Schizosaccharomyces pombe: one gene and its partners. Changing the gene in region 4 together with the main gene of any one other region gives a genetic interaction. Each region holds a gene or a part of one and is shown on either strand. Other genes may lie near its edges. The genes, in order: sec28, sum2, pso2 and ubc13.

Region 1 (3,486 bases), on a different chromosome or scaffold from region 4:
TTTGAGCAAGTTCATCTTCGATTCTTAAAGTCTTATCGTTTAATATCGGTTTTCTTGCTTTTTCCAAATTCCAAACACCTGTGTATTTCAAAACATCTTTCTTTTCTATTTGTAAAGGCAAACTTGTTGCTTGTCATTTTGTGGCACTGCAGGTTTTGAGTAATTTTGGACAAGAACCACCTATTCTAGATTTTTAAAAACAAATATATAGGTGGATAGTCATAATAGTTCATTTTTAATTAATGAATGTATTTGATAAATAAAAGTAAACGGTTTAAAGACGCTCCTGTTGTGACGGCGTTCATTTAAATGTTTCATTTCGAGATATATTCGGGTGCGTTTTCTTGTTATTATGTCTACATGAGTCTTCTTCTGCATGCGGTTAAGTATTTCTAATTAATTAGTTTAATACCTTTACTTCTGGTAAACTTGAAATTTATCGAGGCAATACTGGATTGACTTGCTTTGCCAGACAGATCAACGAGCCATTACTTGAGTGAAGCAATAGTCAATGAATAAATACTAAAAATGCAAACATTTGAAGTTTATTAATGGATTGAAGATTCTAAACAATATTATTATTGGATTAAGCCGTACTCAAAAATTGAGTTGAAAAAGTATCAAATTCTTGCGCCTTTTCATTTAAATGATCGTTCAACTTCAGTGTAGAAGAATTTGTAAAAGATGAAAGTATATTCTTGGCTTGAGAAGGAGCATCAGGGCCTAAATCCGTGATTGCAGTAGTCATATTTGATAGTGCCTCCTCGTAATTTGGTTGAGAATCGAGGGCAGTTTTCAGCGAGCTCAAAGCCTCTTCAGGTCTCAACAAGCATATGTCTGCACACGCCATACCAGTTAAAGTCATTGGATTGCTATCAGTTCCGTTTAACTCTTCAAAAACATAAAATGCATCATTATAGGATTCGACGCCTCCACTAACTATTTTAATCCAAGATTGTGCCAGCTGTAGTACAATTTCTTCATCAGCCCAATCCAAAGCCTGTTTCAATGTCTGTTCAGCAGCTTCAATTTTGTGCTCTCGTAAATGAATGTATACTTGAAGCGCCACCGCCTCCAAGTTCTCTACTGACTTCTTTAATAAATCCATTGCATCATCAAAAGAACCATTTTTAATTTGAAAAATAGCTCCTAATGTTTGTACCACACTGTCTGAATTGCCATGCTGGTCAATAATTAACTCCATGTTCCCCTCCCCAGCCAGCGCCAGAATAGCAGCTGATCCAGGCGTTTTTTGAGTTAAAATACTTTGGATTGATTCTAAACTTTCACCTAAAGCTAATTTTGCCCTTGCCATATAAATTTCGGTCAATTCAAGACCTTTTTCAGACATGGATGTCGTGTCAATTTCAAATAACTTTGTATAGTTTCCACTATAAAAGTATTGACGAACAAAATACAGTTCTATCAAATATTAGTTGTTATTTAATTCCCAACTCATCTCTTACCATTAGATAAACTAGCCTCCCATGAAAACATGTTAAAAGTTTTAATTATGTTGGGCGATGTGTGGAGTAGAGAGTATGTGGGTTAATGGTGTTTGTACATGAGTAACCCTACAACAAAATGTAAAGCAAACGAACTTTCCATCAAGACTTGTAATTTTTCTAATTGCTCCGAAGCCTAATATAATATATTTCGCAGTCAGCAAGTAAAATGTTCGATAATTGAGATCCTTTTTCTACAGGTCGTTGTTGTATTCAAGAATCACCAGCAAACTACATTTTGGTCCACTGGCTTTTATATACAATGCAACAAATCTAGTGTTATAAATCAATACATGTTAACAAAGCGAACATTATAATTTATTAGAATAACAAATGGCGAGCTTTAAAAAAAAAGAAAAAAAAAAATTGTAAAACCTAGACTACCTTTGAAAGTTTGAGTTTAACTCAAGGTAACTAATCAATATATATATATATATATACTTCCTTTATTCCTCACATATTGTACTAAACCCAAAAAAAAAAAGGTTGTGGTCTTTTTTATGGCAGTATCAAAGTACAGAGTAAAACACTCTACAACTCCAATGTCTATCTAAATTCTAAAAATTAAATCCAAATCAAAAAGGCCAAAACAAACTTAAAAGTTGGAAGGGTATAAAACAGAGTCTGCATAAGCAAACGTATCTTTGATGGAGCGAGGAGAAACGAATCGAGACAGAATCATTCCGCTACCAGCTTTATCGTTAGTACCACTGGCACGAGCACCACCAAAAGGTTGTTCACCAACAACAGCACCAGTACACTTATCATTGATATAGAAGTTACCAGCGGCATTACGGAGACGGTCAGTCAACTTTCTGACAACAACACGGTCCTGAGCGAAGATGGATCCGGTTAAACCATAAGGAGTGGTAGTATCGATGAGATCGCAAACAGCGTCTAAGTTGTCATCCTCATATACATAAACAGACAGTACGGGGCCGAACAATTCGTTAACGAATATATCATGTTTAGGGTTTTTAGAAAGTAAAACGGTAGGTTCAACAAAGAAACCTTCGGAATCATCAGCTTTACCGCCAGCCAAAACTTCAATTTCAGAATCGGAAGCAGCACTCTCAAGAACCTTCTTCAGTTTGTTAAAGCTTGCTTGATGGATAACAGGGCCCACAAAATTAGCAAAATCAGTTAAAGGAGCACCGACCTTAAGAGACTTGACCTGTTTGGTAAGCTCATCACGGAAACCATTTTCCCAAGCATACTTAGAAACGTAAAGACGAGAAAGGGCAGAGCACTTTTGGCCTTGATATTCGAAAGCAGCACGAACAGCATTAACAACGGCACTCTTAATTTCAGCGGAAGAATGTACAAGATGAAAGTTCTTACCACCAGTCTCACCGACGATTTTGGGGTAAGTGCGGTATTTTCCGTTGGCAACATTCTCGCCAATTGTTCCCCAAAGGCTACGAAAGACGGCTGTGCTACCAGTAAAATGAAGACCAGCAAACTCAGGGTGGTTGAAACAAACCTTGGAGACTTCAACAGCGTCACCAGGGATAAATTGAAGTGCTCCAGCGGGAAGACCAGCTTCACGGAAGATTTGGTAAACAATGTAGCTAGAAAGGACTGCATGGTCAGAAGGCTTCATTAAAACGACGTTGCCCATGAGAAGGGGGGCAGCAGCCAAGTTACCAGCAATAGCTGTAAAGTTGAAAGGAGTAATGGCATAAACGAAACCTTCCAAAGGACGATATTCCATACGGTTCCAGACACCAGGAGTGTTTTCGGGAGGTTGGCTGGCATATAATTCACTAGCATACTTGGTATTGAAGCGAAGGAAGTCAATGATCTCCATTCCAGCGTCAATTTCAGCTTGCCAGATGTTCTTACCCTGGCCAATCATTGTAGCAGCCATGAGCTTGTAACGGTACTTGGTGCTTATCAAATGAGCAGCCTTCAAGAAAATGGCAGAACGGTCAGCAAAAGGTAAGGATTCCCAGACCTTCTTTCCACGAAGTGCTGCCTC
Region 2 (4,487 bases), on a different chromosome or scaffold from region 4:
TTGTATGCTATATCGGCTTTATCTGGACTATGTATTATTCCTTTCACGCTTTTGTTTATGAAAAAGGACATTAACTCTTTACAAACGTTAAATCCAGATCTAATACTTAAAGATGTAAAGGCTACTCAAAATTTCCGCAGTATAATTCACAGATGGGGTTTTAAAAACTTATTTCGAAGCGCATTTATGTTTTTCTCTGGTTTAGCTTCAATCGCTGGATCAATTTACTTTTGATAACAAAACATAATTGTAATGTATCGTTTACGTGTTAACTCTTGCGTTCCGATATTCGTTGATGATCAAATAATATTAAGTTCTAATTTTTCTACTGCTGATTATTAAAACACTATATCACGTAGTTAAGTTCGTGAAATTTAAACTATTAAAAAATGCTAAAATTAAGAGAGCACATTTTTATTTTTAAAACGATTCGCTTATAAATTGTTCATACTGCTCAAACATTGTTGTTTGGATTCTATAGTTTGTCAGCTTCAAACAAGTCGACTGAATCAAATTTTTACAAAACGCTTTTCAAAAACGAAACGACTGTTGAAAAACACGGGTTGTTCAATGTTCAGTCATGCAACCAGCGATGCTTTGGGTCTATCAAGGTGTATAAAAGAATAAACATTAGCGGATTGGTTAAGTCTTCAACCTTTTGGTAATTATATGTAACCCATTAACATTTATTCGTAATACCTTTACGAAATCTCGGTATAGGATATCGTTTCAATGCTTGTTCTTCTTGCGTAATACATGAGCAGATAAGTATAGTTTTTAAAGCACTCTACAAGAACTTAACAAAACTCCTAAGTTAAATATCAAATAACAACGACTAATCCTTTTGGTTTATATAAGAGAACACCTTTTTTCGGGTCGTTAAATACATGTCCATAAATTTTGAGTTCATCATGATTGAAACGAAGACGAAGCTCAATCTAGAGAAACGAGGATACTTCATCTGTACTCATTATAAGAAATGCAGTTCATTGGTCGTTTGCAGGCTGGGCTCTAGGTTGAGAGCCATTGGAATTCCTGTATTGGTTATATTGATTTCTTGCATATCCACGTCCACGACCTCTACCACCACGTCCACGACCACGTCCACGACGGCCGCGATTTCCAGAGCCAGCAACGCCAAATGTCTCCATGTTCAAAGAACGTTCGCGATCTCGTAGAGCTCTTCTATCTGCAGCTTCCATACCCTTCTCTTTACTTTCACAACTAATATTATCAAAAAAAGATTGCTTAGGCTTGTAAAATTCTTCGGCTTCTTCATCATTTTTTCCTTTTAACAAATCATCTTTCATCGATTGAAACTTTTGATTTGCAGTTTGAAAGTCAAATTCGGTACGAGGCTTTGCAGCACTAGCATCAGGTTGAGTTGTAGGAACTTCTTTAGAAGGTCCAGATGTTTCAACGGTTTGGGATTGAGAGACATCCACAGTAGTATTCACAACACGGTCATTTGTGACAGTGGAATTCCGTATACTAGTACTTTCTTTTTCAATAGATGCTTCAATGGAGGGCTGTGCACCTGGTATCACTCCATTCGTGGGCGGCATGGATTGAAGAGACGGAGATGCAGATACCGCGGTAGGACCAGGAGCAGGCATGCCCGGAGCAAAGTTGGGAGGCTTCTGGTTTGAAGGCATTCCGTATCCAGGACGTACGTTGTACGGGGCCTGACCGGCAAACCCTTGAGAAACATTTTGAGCAAACTCAGGACGTTGACCCATTTGCTGTTGATCAGGTGCCCCATAATACGGGACCGCAGGTGTGGATGCGTCTAAGGGAGTACCCAAAGGCAAACCTCCAGGAGGTACAAATTGAGCGGGAGCATTCGGGTACATATAGTAAGGTGCACCTGCTGGAGGAGCCTGTTGGTATGGAGCTCCATAAGGGTTAGGTTGAACAGGCTGAGGAGGTTGGGCAGTCTGCGCTTGGTTCCAATTATACTGCCCGCTATTAGACTAATTATAGTTAAAATCATGATCTTGTCAGATATATAAAGAGTGCCAAAGATAATTAATACTAGATATACTAATGAGAATCTCCACCACTCTTTAGACGTAACATACCCCAATAATTGCAGGATCATTAGGAGGTTGAACCGGGGGAGCAGAAGGAGTAGTAGCAGGTTCCTCAATCCGTAAATCTTTAACATCGCTTCCACGAAAAACAATGTAATCAAATACATTATCTGATGGGGGGATTTCTTGAGAGGGATCTTGTTTTCTTCCTTCAGTACCACACCAACGGACTAAACTGTTAGTAATCAATGCTGGGTACTCAACCTACCATGCTTCAAAGCCAGTGTTGAGTCCTGGGAATTGATGTCCTGCAAAATGCCCACATAACTAAATATTAGTAAAGGAAAGATAATGCTCTCACGTACCGAATGTCAGATTTGCTAATTAGACTAATACGAGAACCAATAAATTCAGTCATTGGTTATAAACTCGACGAAGTAAAGCTTAGTGGTGAAAGGAGCGTGGTTAGGTGTCCTTTCGAAATTAACGAACTTGGCGATAGCGCTAGTATGGGGTTCATTATACCGAGTAAATAAGACCAAAATGCGACATTGTCATTTATAAGCTGTTTTTTCATCAGTTTTTATATTTATTTAAAATTAACATGCTTAAGATCAAAAAGGCTATCCACAGCTGCTCTGACCATGTACTACTTATTTTACTTAAATACGTATATGTGCAGCAGTCAAATTGTAACTAATTTTATACTTATTACAAGTAATCTATTTTTAAAAAGAATGAAAATGCCAAGCAAAAGACACTGTACTTTAACGCTCTTCAAAATTGAGTTAACCTGAAACCGCACCGTCAATTACATTATCCAACTAACATATTCATTTTCTGATACGTATGAAAATTTTAAGTTAAAGAATGAAACAAAAAACTTTTTAATATAACAAAAACCTTTTCCCAATTCAACGTAACTGAGTTTATGTCCAAAATTGTAACTCCCCTTGTTGATCTAATAGAGTAGCCTTGAAAAAAATATTCCAAAAGTAATATTTCATATCTAATTTTCCAATTTTGCTTTTTTGACAGAAGAAGTTTCTTTCTGGCCCTTACGTTTTGGAAACCTTCCGGCAGCTAGATTGCTGTCAGAAGTTAACACCTTGATCCCAGATAAAACGAAACCCATATCACCCCTAACAGTCATGAATGGATGAGTCCTTTCTGGCAAGACTTGGTAAGGTCGTGTACGAATCTCATGAATATCCAGCATGATGACTTTCTCTTTCTGTGTATCAATAGCAACGTCTCCTTGATCAACCTTTTCGTCATTTTCAGTACTTTGAGCTGTCTTTTCTACAAATAAGTTATCCCATTTAGATAATTGATGATACGTCTCGACTAAGACTTGCTGATATGTTGAGTATACCATGAAAGGACGTGATATACCGAGCTTTGGAAGAAGATGTTGAAGAACAGACATTGGGGTGTGAATAGATAGTATAAAGAGAGCATCATAGTTACCACTTTCAAAATCATCAATAGTATTCTTCAAACGGTTAAATGTAGCTTTCTTCGTTTCATAGCGCTTACGGTGGCGAAGTTTCATCTCATTCAACTCTGATTCAGGAATATCTTCAACCGAATACTCACTTAAAGTCTCGGTTGGATTCGTAACTTGATACCAATTCAAAGTTTTCAAAATCCCTTTTTGAACCAAACTATCCTCTTTAAAGTCTTGCCCCCAATACTCTAAACAAGAGCTATTAGGTTGCTCATTTGGATGGACCAGGGTTATTTTGCAATCACCAGCAACACGGTCAATAAGAGAACCAAGGAACATGCATCCAGTCTCATCAACTACCAAATATCTACCCCCAGGTTTAACATTTCCAAGAGTAAGCATCAAGCTTATACACTCGGCAGTAAGATCAAGTATCTTATACGGATCATGTTCAATCATGTAATTAGCCACAACTTCAACACAAGGTCGTAAAACCTGAAAGCGTTGAAGATACTTTTCCCCTTTTCTCGTAACATATTTCTCCTGAGCAAATAAAGTTTTTTGCTCAAAAGTTTTACTACTATTAGTCAACTGTTTGATGGCCTCTTCAGCACGAAGTCCACCAGCTTTAATGTTTGCGCGCAGTTCATCAATCTCCTCTTGAGTCATAAGCTGATTGCCTCGACAATCATTAAGTTCTTGATTCGTTTTCTTTTCTTCCTCGATATACTGTACCTCCCTTGTTTTTAAAACTCGAATTTTTTTGGGTTGATAAATTTCAAAAGTTTCGTCAAAATGCTTTCCAAACAAATCATCAGCGAGAAATGAACCAAATTTTCCGAGGTGAATTGTACTATTTAATATAAAGTCAGTAAGATCAATATGAACGAGATAAACTAGATCACCTCTATCTCCTTATGCAAAAAACAATTTCAATTGCTATCATTGAAAATGTACTTTAAATTGTAAATTAAGATCCTCATACTTACTTGTTTGGTTTCAAT
Region 3 (5,513 bases), 4.1 Mb from region 4:
TTATTAAATTACGATACTTTAATTAGTTGATTGCCATTAAGCTAGAGGTGCGAAACTTTGATTTTGCTACTCTTACCAAACTCACATTCAATGAAGAAAAGCCATTCACTCCCACCACTGAATTATTTCTCCCAATAAACCATCAAAATGGAAGAAGTAGTTCATTATTTCCTGGAAGGGAATATGCCGGTGGCACAGTTTCGAGAAGCATTAGCTTTGCATTATACAAATGAAAAAGAGCTATTTGAGCAAGCGAAGAGATGTTTAAATATTTGTTGCGGCAGCAACAACTTTGCAAAACGGAACGACGTTTTGTTTTCTTTACTTGATGTTGCAGTTAGCATTTCGTCTCTTGAGTTACGGAAAGAGTTAATATCTGAATTATATGTTCCAGTACAGTCGTTAGAGGAGGCACCTTCAGAATATTTGGTTTCCTGTTGTTTACAATTAGCCACTATTTATGAAGCTGAGCAAAATTTTGAGCTTTTATGTTCTTCATTGGAAGCTGTCGAAAAACATGGTCATTTTGAAAACGACCTAGAGCAACTCTTGTTATTAAGAATTCGTTTAGGAGATGCTTATTTAAAGTTAGGAAAAGCTGAAAAAGCAATTTTAACCGTAAGGACAAGTATACCATTGGCATTTAAAGTTAGTAATGATCAATTGCTAATGGAACTTCAACTTTGCAATGCTCGCGCTCTCGATGAAACAGGACAATTCCTAGAAGCTGCGAAATGTTACTATCGGGTACTTCAATATAAAGTACCTGGAAATGAACTAATTTATAGAGAGAACTTGTGTTCAGTAGCTCAATGTTTACTTCTAGCGATTCCTTCTCCTATTGTTTTGCAGTTCCTCCAAGAAATCTCTCTCCAACCATCCGTCCGAGAAATCCCGTTTTATTCTCTAGTCGAAAAGTACCTTAAAAGAAAGTTTATCGGAAAAGAGGACGGAGCCTTTCTGTTGCCTTTTCTACTTCCTCACCAAGTAATTCATATGAATAGATTGATAGAGGATGGTCGACATTTTTTGGAAACGAATATCCTTTTTCTTTCAGAGTTTTTTGAAGTTTCTTCTACATCTATACTTGCAAAACACTTTAAACTTTCTGAGGAACAGGTTGATACAGTTGTTGCTGATATGGTGATACAAGAACGATTGAATGCTTCAATCGATCAATGTGAAGGATACATTACTTTTTTGCCAGAGTATGGAAAAGCAAACAATCTTCCTAATTATGTTAATAAAATTGCAACCGTTCTTCAACATTACGGTTCTTAGACCAAATGTGAAAAAAAAAACTGTTTTATAGTTCATCTATTTTATTCATTTAAAATAATATTTATTGTATAATGTCATAGAAATATTGACGTTCTTATTTGTATCTTTTTCACCTCGTGGTCGCTAATGTTTGTTTACATTATAAGTAACTTCCCTCTCTGCCTGTTCTTATATTATTTACATGTGCTTGTAACTCCAATTCGCAGTACCAATTGGTAATGGAGCAATTTGAGATAATCAGAGAATCGGATGCTGATCCTTACTACTTTAATAAAAATCTTCGACTAGAAGAATGCGAAATTGACGGGTTTACATCAATTTATAAAGCTCCACCTCCATATTCTTTTGTCGCTGGTCTAAGTAAAAATACTTCTTCTAACAGTTTTGTAATCCACAAATGTCTTCCACCTTTGCAAAGGAACAATACAATTAGAAAAAGAAAGCGAAATCCTTTTCTAGCTGACAGACCTTATTGTATCAACAGTGAGGACATGCCTTTAAGTGATGACCGAGATATGTTAAAGGAACGACACGTCAAATCGCGAAAACTTTTATTAAAGGAAAAAGGAAATCGTTTTTACCGTAGAAGTTGATTTTTATAATTATTACCACCTGTTTCTAACTGTTTGTCTTAAAACTCCTTCGCATGTTGATGATTTGTTTTAAGGAGCTTGAGCGAAGACTACTTTATGCTTGCCAAGAGGGTTTTTTTTAAGTGTTTTGCCTTGAACTGTGCAATTGCAAGGCTTTTCAGTAACAGGCCTTATTGCCATTGTAGGCCATTAAGAAAGTAAAAGGAAAAAAAATTAAAATCATTAAGGAACGCTAAGCTGCAGTGAAAGTATATTTCTCACTAGCTTCTCCAAATCGAAGTTTTTTGTAAATAAAACGCATTTTCGTGAATAATCGATGCTTTTTTTTTAAGGTGTTTTTTTCTTTTTTTTTCATTACTTCAATTTTCAGTTATTACCCTTCCTTAGGTATACTTCTTTTTTTTACATTTTAGACCAGATCCTGACCGACCAATTTTGGATCATCCAGCGTCACATAATAATTCATCCATAACACTTTTTAATACTTTGAAATTTATAGTTAGAGGTAAAGTTTCTAAATCTGTTTCCTTTGTTTTTTCGTTTTGATCTTTCAAAGGCATACCTAATATTCTACGACTTCTCATACACATTGTACATTAGAAAAAGTCGCTCTTGACGTCTACTCGCCGTTTCCTTAACTTCAAGACTTCTTTTAAGCGATTCTTGCGGATTTATCGTGTCTTTCCTCGAATAATAGCTTTCATTATTAAGCTAAACGAAACTTTACAACTTTTGAAATAACTTCCTTTAAAAGAATTCAATCACTTACTGTTGTTGCTTATACACCAAAAAACAAAAAACTAATAATTTTGCCTTTGTTTACGTTCACTGAAATGAGTAAACGAAAGTCATCGTCTATTTTAGATTTTTTTAAAAAATCTAATAATGGCAAAAACATGTGGGGTAATGAAGCTGTTTCTGTTGAAAAAACTGATTCCACCACCAAGCCCTCTACAGTAAAAAATGCAATTTCAAGTTCCCAAATAAAAAATGAGAAATTCTCACAGGAAGTCTTATTACAATTCAATGATCCAAGTTTCACTTCTGAAGTGGGTGAGTCTCCTCAATGGCAATCTTTTGGGGATGCTAACATCTTAGAACCTTTAAAAAATGAGCTGGTTAAAAACGAGGAGTCAACCATGTCTGAATTGCTTCTTTGTCCAATATGTGGAATAACTTTGGAGTCTTTAACTGTCGATGCCAATATACATGTCAATGACTGCCTAGACGGGAGAACAACGGAAGCTGTTTCAAAAAAGCTGAAGAAAGACTCTGTCGTTAAAGCCGATCCTTCGAATTCGAGTACATTCCCAATATCTGATTCCTGTAAACAGGCGTTATTACCTTTACCTGGAAAGCAAATTAATGTTCGGTCTGTTGTTCCTTTCTATAAATTAATGCCTTATAATATTCCTTTTGCCGTTGACGCATTTGCTTACGGTGCCATTGATGGTGTTGAAGCTTATTTTTTGTCACACTTTCATTCTGATCACTATGGCGGTTTAACTCCAAAATGGAAGCACGGTCCTATTTACTGTTCAGAAGTAACAGGAAATCTTTTAATAAATGTCATGCATGTTGATGAACAATATGTGAAGCGTCTCAAACTAAATCAACCATATAATATAATGGGTATTACTGTATATGTTTTGGATGCTAATCATTGTCCAGGATCAGCTATGTTTGTTTTTGAAACGCTTCAGAGTAATCAAACAAGACGTGTTCTTCACTGTGGAGATTTCCGCGCTTCTAAGGATCACGTTATGCATCCTGTTTTACGAGAGAAGACCATTCATAAAGTTTATTTGGACACTACATACTTGAATCCTAAATATACTTTTCCACCCCAAGCGGATGTTGTTCAAGCTTGCGCCGACAAAGCAATATCTATCAAGAAGTCAACAGATTCTAGGCTTTTGGTAGTAGTTAGCACTTATAGCATCGGGAAAGAAAAAGTAGCCGTTGCTATTGCAAAATCTCTTTCTTCACGGATTTATGTGGTTCCTCGAAAAATGCATATTATTAAACAACTTGAAAATCAAGATTTAATAGATTTATTAACGGATGATCCTACGCAAGCTTCCGTACATATGGTCACTATGATGGGAATACATCCGAATTCGCTTCTTGACTATTTGGAACAATACAATAGTTCCTTTGATAAGATCATAGGGTACAAAGTTACTGGCTGGACATTTCAACCCTTGGAAAATCGTGCACAACTTAGCAGTAGCTTAGACTCGATAATTTCCAGACCACCGAAATTTGTGGAATACGATTTAAGAGCGATTAGAGGAAGCACCGACAAAGTGGCAGCTTTTGTAGCCCCTTACAGTGAACACTCGAGCTTTTATGATTTAACTATGTTTTGTCTGTCGATGAACATTGGACATATTATCCCAACTGTAAATGTGGGTAGTCAACGGTCTCGTGAAAAGATGAATGTATGGCTAGATCGTTGGGCTTGGCGCCGAAAGAAACAAGGCCTACTTTCATTGGAAAATGTGGATTGGTAAACCAAAATCTACCACAATAATTTTCCTTTCTGTTTCTTTTAGGGTTATACGAGCTTGTCTGTAGCTATTATTTATGGTTCTTATAATTAATGTTAATGTGAGCAAAATGTTTTTGTATGTATGCTTTACTATGCCAATCCTTTATCCTTCTATATTTTATTTTTTTTTTTAGTTTCAGGAGTGCTAATACAAGATTATACAAAAAAATGACACCAAAGTGTAGGTGTATATTCATTTAAATCAAACTATGAGCTTGCAAATAATCCAAAACTTTTAAACTTTCTTTGAGCTTCGTTTTTTTATGATCGAATACTTAACATTAGTTCATTTAGGCTAATTTTCTATTTTTTTTAATTATAATAATAGAGCAATCTACAACGAATTGTCATCAAATAAACACCTTTCATTATAAAACACATCATCAATTTTTTTTCTAATTTTTTTGTAATAGCATTCGCCATTGATGAACGATGAACCTTAGTATAAAAAATTCTCATAAAACATTGCCCCGAGAGTTGAAACATCATAGGCGAAGGAGCTCAAGATTCAAATTTCCACTACAGAGAAACAACGAAAATAATTTAATGGAAAAAAAATCAAGCTACTCATAAATAACCAAAAAAAAATTCCAACAGTCCAGCAAAGGGTGTTAAGAGAGAAGAAAAATAAAATAAAATAAAAAAATATATAACAAAATTATAAAAAGTAATAACAAAAAGACAGTAAAAAATGATTGAAATATGAAATATTGTTGGGATTTATGGAAGCCTAGTCAACAAAAGACTGACTAAAACAAAGTTATTGTAGTTGAATACAGATAAAGATATGAAATTATCAATAAATAATTTCTTCCCAATGAATCTATAGGTAATTAATACCCGTAATTAACAGATTTAGCAAGTCATAAAATTCTCCCACTCCAAAAGGTGGCATAAAATAAACTAGGATCCAAAATAAATAGCAACATAACTTTGATAATAGCAGTATAGAAATTTGATATCCAATATAACTCAAAGATGGAAAGCATGAATGCCTATCAGTCCAGAGTATATATGAATTATGCGATGAGTCTTGATGTTGTTCGTTTCAAACAAAACAAAATATCGAAAAAAAATAGTTAAAA
Region 4 (3,097 bases):
TTATTGAAAACTCGAGAGCAAATAAAAAACTATTCAAAAATTAATATACTTATAAAGGAGCTTTTCGGATTAGAAGTTGCAGACTGTATAGAGGACGAGGATGGATATCGTTTCAACTGTAAAAACACTGGAAGGAGAGGGAGTAAGTGCTTTAAGGGATTTAGAAATAATTTCAAGCTAACAGGATATTATTATAGCACTCGAATATCAGCTCTTGTTAGATGATCAAAACTTTACATTTACTCCACGTCTGAATGTTCAAACTGATGAGGAGCTTATGAAACATTTACCAGACTATTTGTTGGAGGAAATTATCTTTACGAAAGAACAAGGAAAATTATTTTCTGCTAGATTAATGAAAGCTTTGCAAGATTAACAATAATAACTATGGATTTTGCTTAAACTTTAATACTTCCTTGTTATATGAATAGCACTATATCTTAAATTAATTGTGCTCGTCGAGATATCACTTTTTTCATCGTCCGTCAAAAGCTGCGATGTTTGTATTCTGCTACCATAATTATCTATTATTAATTTTTACATCTTTTATTCGAAAAGACCTTAACCGCTTAGGAAAAAATTGAATGCAAAAAACTTAAGGAAATGGGTAGAATTCAAATCAAAGACTGTATATAGAAAGCTATTGATATCGTAATATATTATTATTCTAGTGATAACCATAAGCATTGGACTATCATAAGTAATCAAACTGCATACTTTTTCGTCCATTCACGGGCATTTGCAATTGCCTGTGGCTCATTTTCTTTCCAAATCTTTGCAACATCATTGTCTAAAGGGTCATCTGGGTTGGGAGCACCCATTAATGCCTGTATCGAAAGTAGCACGGTTCGAATTTGTAAAGCAGGACTCCAATCCTCTGATTTATTAATGTTAGTACACCAAAATAAGATGAAACGTGTGAAGTTTAACATACTTTTTAACGTAGATAAACATATGCGACCTAATTTATCAACGTTTGGATGATAAATTTTAGTAAGAAAACGAACATTGGGAGGCATCTAATAGTTGTTAAAACTCAAATTACACAATTATACAATTTTTTGAAGACAGTTTGAAACTGACAATGCCATTCTTCAAATTTTTGTTGAACTAGCAGGGCTAGCAAAAGGACCATGGTAGGCTCAATACTGTGTTTTCAAAAAAAACCTACCATTGGATACTCATCAGGAAGAAACAGCTCTAAGTGAAATTTTCCACCTTCATAAGCTGATTGCTGAGGCCCTTCCATAGTAATTTTAAAATAGCGAAGATTATCTTCAGTGGGAGCCGCTACAATTCCGGGTGGAGGATCTCTCGTAAGGGTTTCAATTTCCTACCAATTATTAGTTGAAAAATGCTAACAGAAAGCGCAAACCTTAATAATACGCTTAGGCAAAGCCATTGTTCATATACTTGGACTTCCTAGAATGCATGCTGTACACACAATAAGTACTTGGTTTAAGGAGAAACTGGAGAGATTGATACACTATTCTATATAAGGAGTGACGTAAAACATAATACAAATAGTGAGTGATAATAAAATCTCCACGGCTCTAGCTAAGAATAGTATTAGCAATTGACAAGTAGCCATGGCTTCTTAGTTTATTATTATTAATATTCATAATATTGTATAAAATTTAATTTGTTTTTTTATAAAAAAAAAGATTCAGAATCCTGAAATTGCTACAGTCACCTGGCCCATATCGAAAAAGATGAGGGAATTACAGGGAGACGATTCTTCAAGAAAGTCTCCTCCGAGTGATTCGGTTGTAAAAAATTCTTCGCCTATTGATTATGAACATTCATTGAAATCTCTTCAAGATGAACGTACCTTGAATTACCCCAATAAGCAATTTAATTCTGAAAACCCATCTTCATACTATAATATGGATGATAGCGGGGAATTATGCAACTTTGAATTGGAGAAAGACAGTCTTGAATCAATGATCCATGAATCGTCCACTGCTCTAAGCGCTCAATCAAACACTGCACAAGACGGTGATCAACTAGCTTCATCGTCAACAATCTCTAAAGATCACTCAGAAACGTTGGACAATAAGCTAAACGATTCTAAGATATTAATTAAAAAAGCTTCTAACTCCTTTGCAAATTTTTCAGAAAGTGTAAGGTCTAGTACCATTGTTGCATATTCTCAAACACCGACACAAAGGTTGCAAGGTTTAACTTCCATATCATCTTCTTCTTTTGACGATGGTAGTTATGGATCTCGTCGAATATCTTTTAACTCTCAGGGTGTTTCTGGTCGGTTGCGAAGAAATATGGATTCCACGGTCATCATCCCTTCCGAAGATGAAGACTTGCAGTTACCATCGAATTCTAACAGCAATGTGGAATACGGCCCTTTTGATAGTACTACGTTTGATAGACAATTATCAATTGAAGTTAATCAACCAGTGGGTGCTATGTCTTTATCTCCTTGTGGTAGAGATATAGCTTTAGCTTCACGTTATGGTTTACTAGTCTTAGATCTTGATAATCCTTATAATCCACCAAGAATGCTAAGACATTCTACTCCTTGGGAAGTTGCTGATACTCAGTGGAATGTTCATGCCGCAAGAGACCAATGGGTGGTTTCTACATCAAGTCAAAAAACGATAGTATGGAACCTTGCACTACCAAATGATCGTGCTATAGAATTTATGTTACATGGACACACCCGCGCCGTCACAGATATGAACTGGCATCGGCAAAATCCTGATGTTCTTGCCACTTGTTCAATTGATTCCTCTGTTCACTGTTGGGATTTGCGTAGTCCTCGATTTCCTGTTAACTCCTTTTACGATTGGCATAACGGAGCTACTCAGGTAAAATGGAATTATAAAAATCCCCACATACTTGCTTCTAGCCATGGACGTTTAGTAAGGATTTGGGACGATCGTTATGGATCCGCCCCACTTCATACAATTAAAACTTCCGAAAATATTACTAAAATTAATGGTCTTGAATTCAATAGAGCATGTGAAACTCGCCTATTAACTTGTGCTATGGATCGAACAGTTAAGTTTTGGAACTATGAAAAGTCAACAGAGGAGCCTGAGCATTTAATTACCACTGATTCTCCAGTATGGAAAGCAAG

What was found.
Region 1: mutations in ubc13 (region 4) and sec28 together harm fitness less than expected from each alone (positive genetic interaction), as found in Schizosaccharomyces pombe (one large-scale study listed by BioGRID).
Region 2: mutations in ubc13 (region 4) and sum2 together harm fitness less than expected from each alone (positive genetic interaction), as found in Schizosaccharomyces pombe (one large-scale study listed by BioGRID).
Region 3: mutations in ubc13 (region 4) and pso2 impair growth when combined (synthetic growth defect), as found in Schizosaccharomyces pombe (one large-scale study listed by BioGRID).

What each region holds. Positions count from the first base shown.
Region 1 is NC_003423.3:2,325,517-2,329,002, reverse strand, and holds sec28 (coatomer epsilon subunit protein), read right to left. Parts: upstream 1,530-3,486; 5' UTR 1,498-1,529; coding exon 1,467-1,497; exon of another isoform or gene 1,423-1,466; coding exon 587-1,422; 3' UTR 502-586; downstream 1-501. Other genes in the region: put2 (delta-1-pyrroline-5-carboxylate dehydrogenase), read right to left, coding at 2,101-3,486. UniProt on the Schizosaccharomyces pombe protein: The coatomer is a cytosolic protein complex that binds to dilysine motifs and reversibly associates with Golgi non-clathrin-coated vesicles, which further mediate biosynthetic protein transport from the ER, via the Golgi up to the trans Golgi network.
Region 2 is NC_003423.3:265,454-269,940, reverse strand, and holds sum2 (translation initiation inhibitor), read right to left. Parts: upstream 2,486-4,487; 5' UTR 2,452-2,485; coding exon 2,399-2,451; exon of another isoform or gene 2,361-2,398; coding exon 2,302-2,360; exon of another isoform or gene 2,264-2,301; coding exon 2,082-2,263; exon of another isoform or gene 1,974-2,081; coding exon 987-1,973; 3' UTR 533-986; downstream 1-532. Other genes in the region: SPOM_SPBC800.14C (uncharacterized protein), read left to right, coding at 1-234; trm6 (translation initiation factor eIF-3 gamma subunit Gcd10), read right to left, coding at 3,043-4,336, 4,473-4,487. UniProt on the Schizosaccharomyces pombe protein: Required for G2/M phase checkpoint control.
Region 3 is NC_003424.3:1,155,987-1,161,499, reverse strand, and holds pso2 (DNA 5' exonuclease), read left to right. Parts: upstream 1-2,017; 5' UTR 2,018-2,707; coding exon 2,708-4,390; 3' UTR 4,391-5,013; downstream 5,014-5,513. Other genes in the region: COP9/signalosome complex subunit Csn4, read left to right, coding at 148-1,281; protein mug103, read left to right, coding at 1,500-1,874. UniProt on the Schizosaccharomyces pombe protein: Required for DNA interstrand cross-link repair. This requires cleavage of cross-linked DNA to generate DNA double strand breaks (DSBs).
Region 4 is NC_003424.3:5,286,680-5,289,776, forward strand, and holds ubc13 (ubiquitin-conjugating enzyme Ubc13), read right to left. Parts: upstream 1,416-3,097; 5' UTR 1,403-1,415; coding exon 1,376-1,402; intron 1,334-1,375; coding exon 1,172-1,333; intron 1,020-1,171; coding exon 935-1,019; intron 878-934; coding exon 705-877; 3' UTR 501-704; downstream 1-500. Other genes in the region: csm1 (microtubule-site clamp monopolin complex subunit Csm1/Pcs1), read left to right, coding at 1-142, 198-376; SEA complex subunit Sea3, read left to right, coding at 1,713-3,097. UniProt on the Schizosaccharomyces pombe protein: Has a role in the DNA error-free postreplication repair (PRR) pathway. The ubc13/spm2 heterodimer catalyzes the synthesis of non-canonical poly-ubiquitin chains that are linked through 'Lys-63'.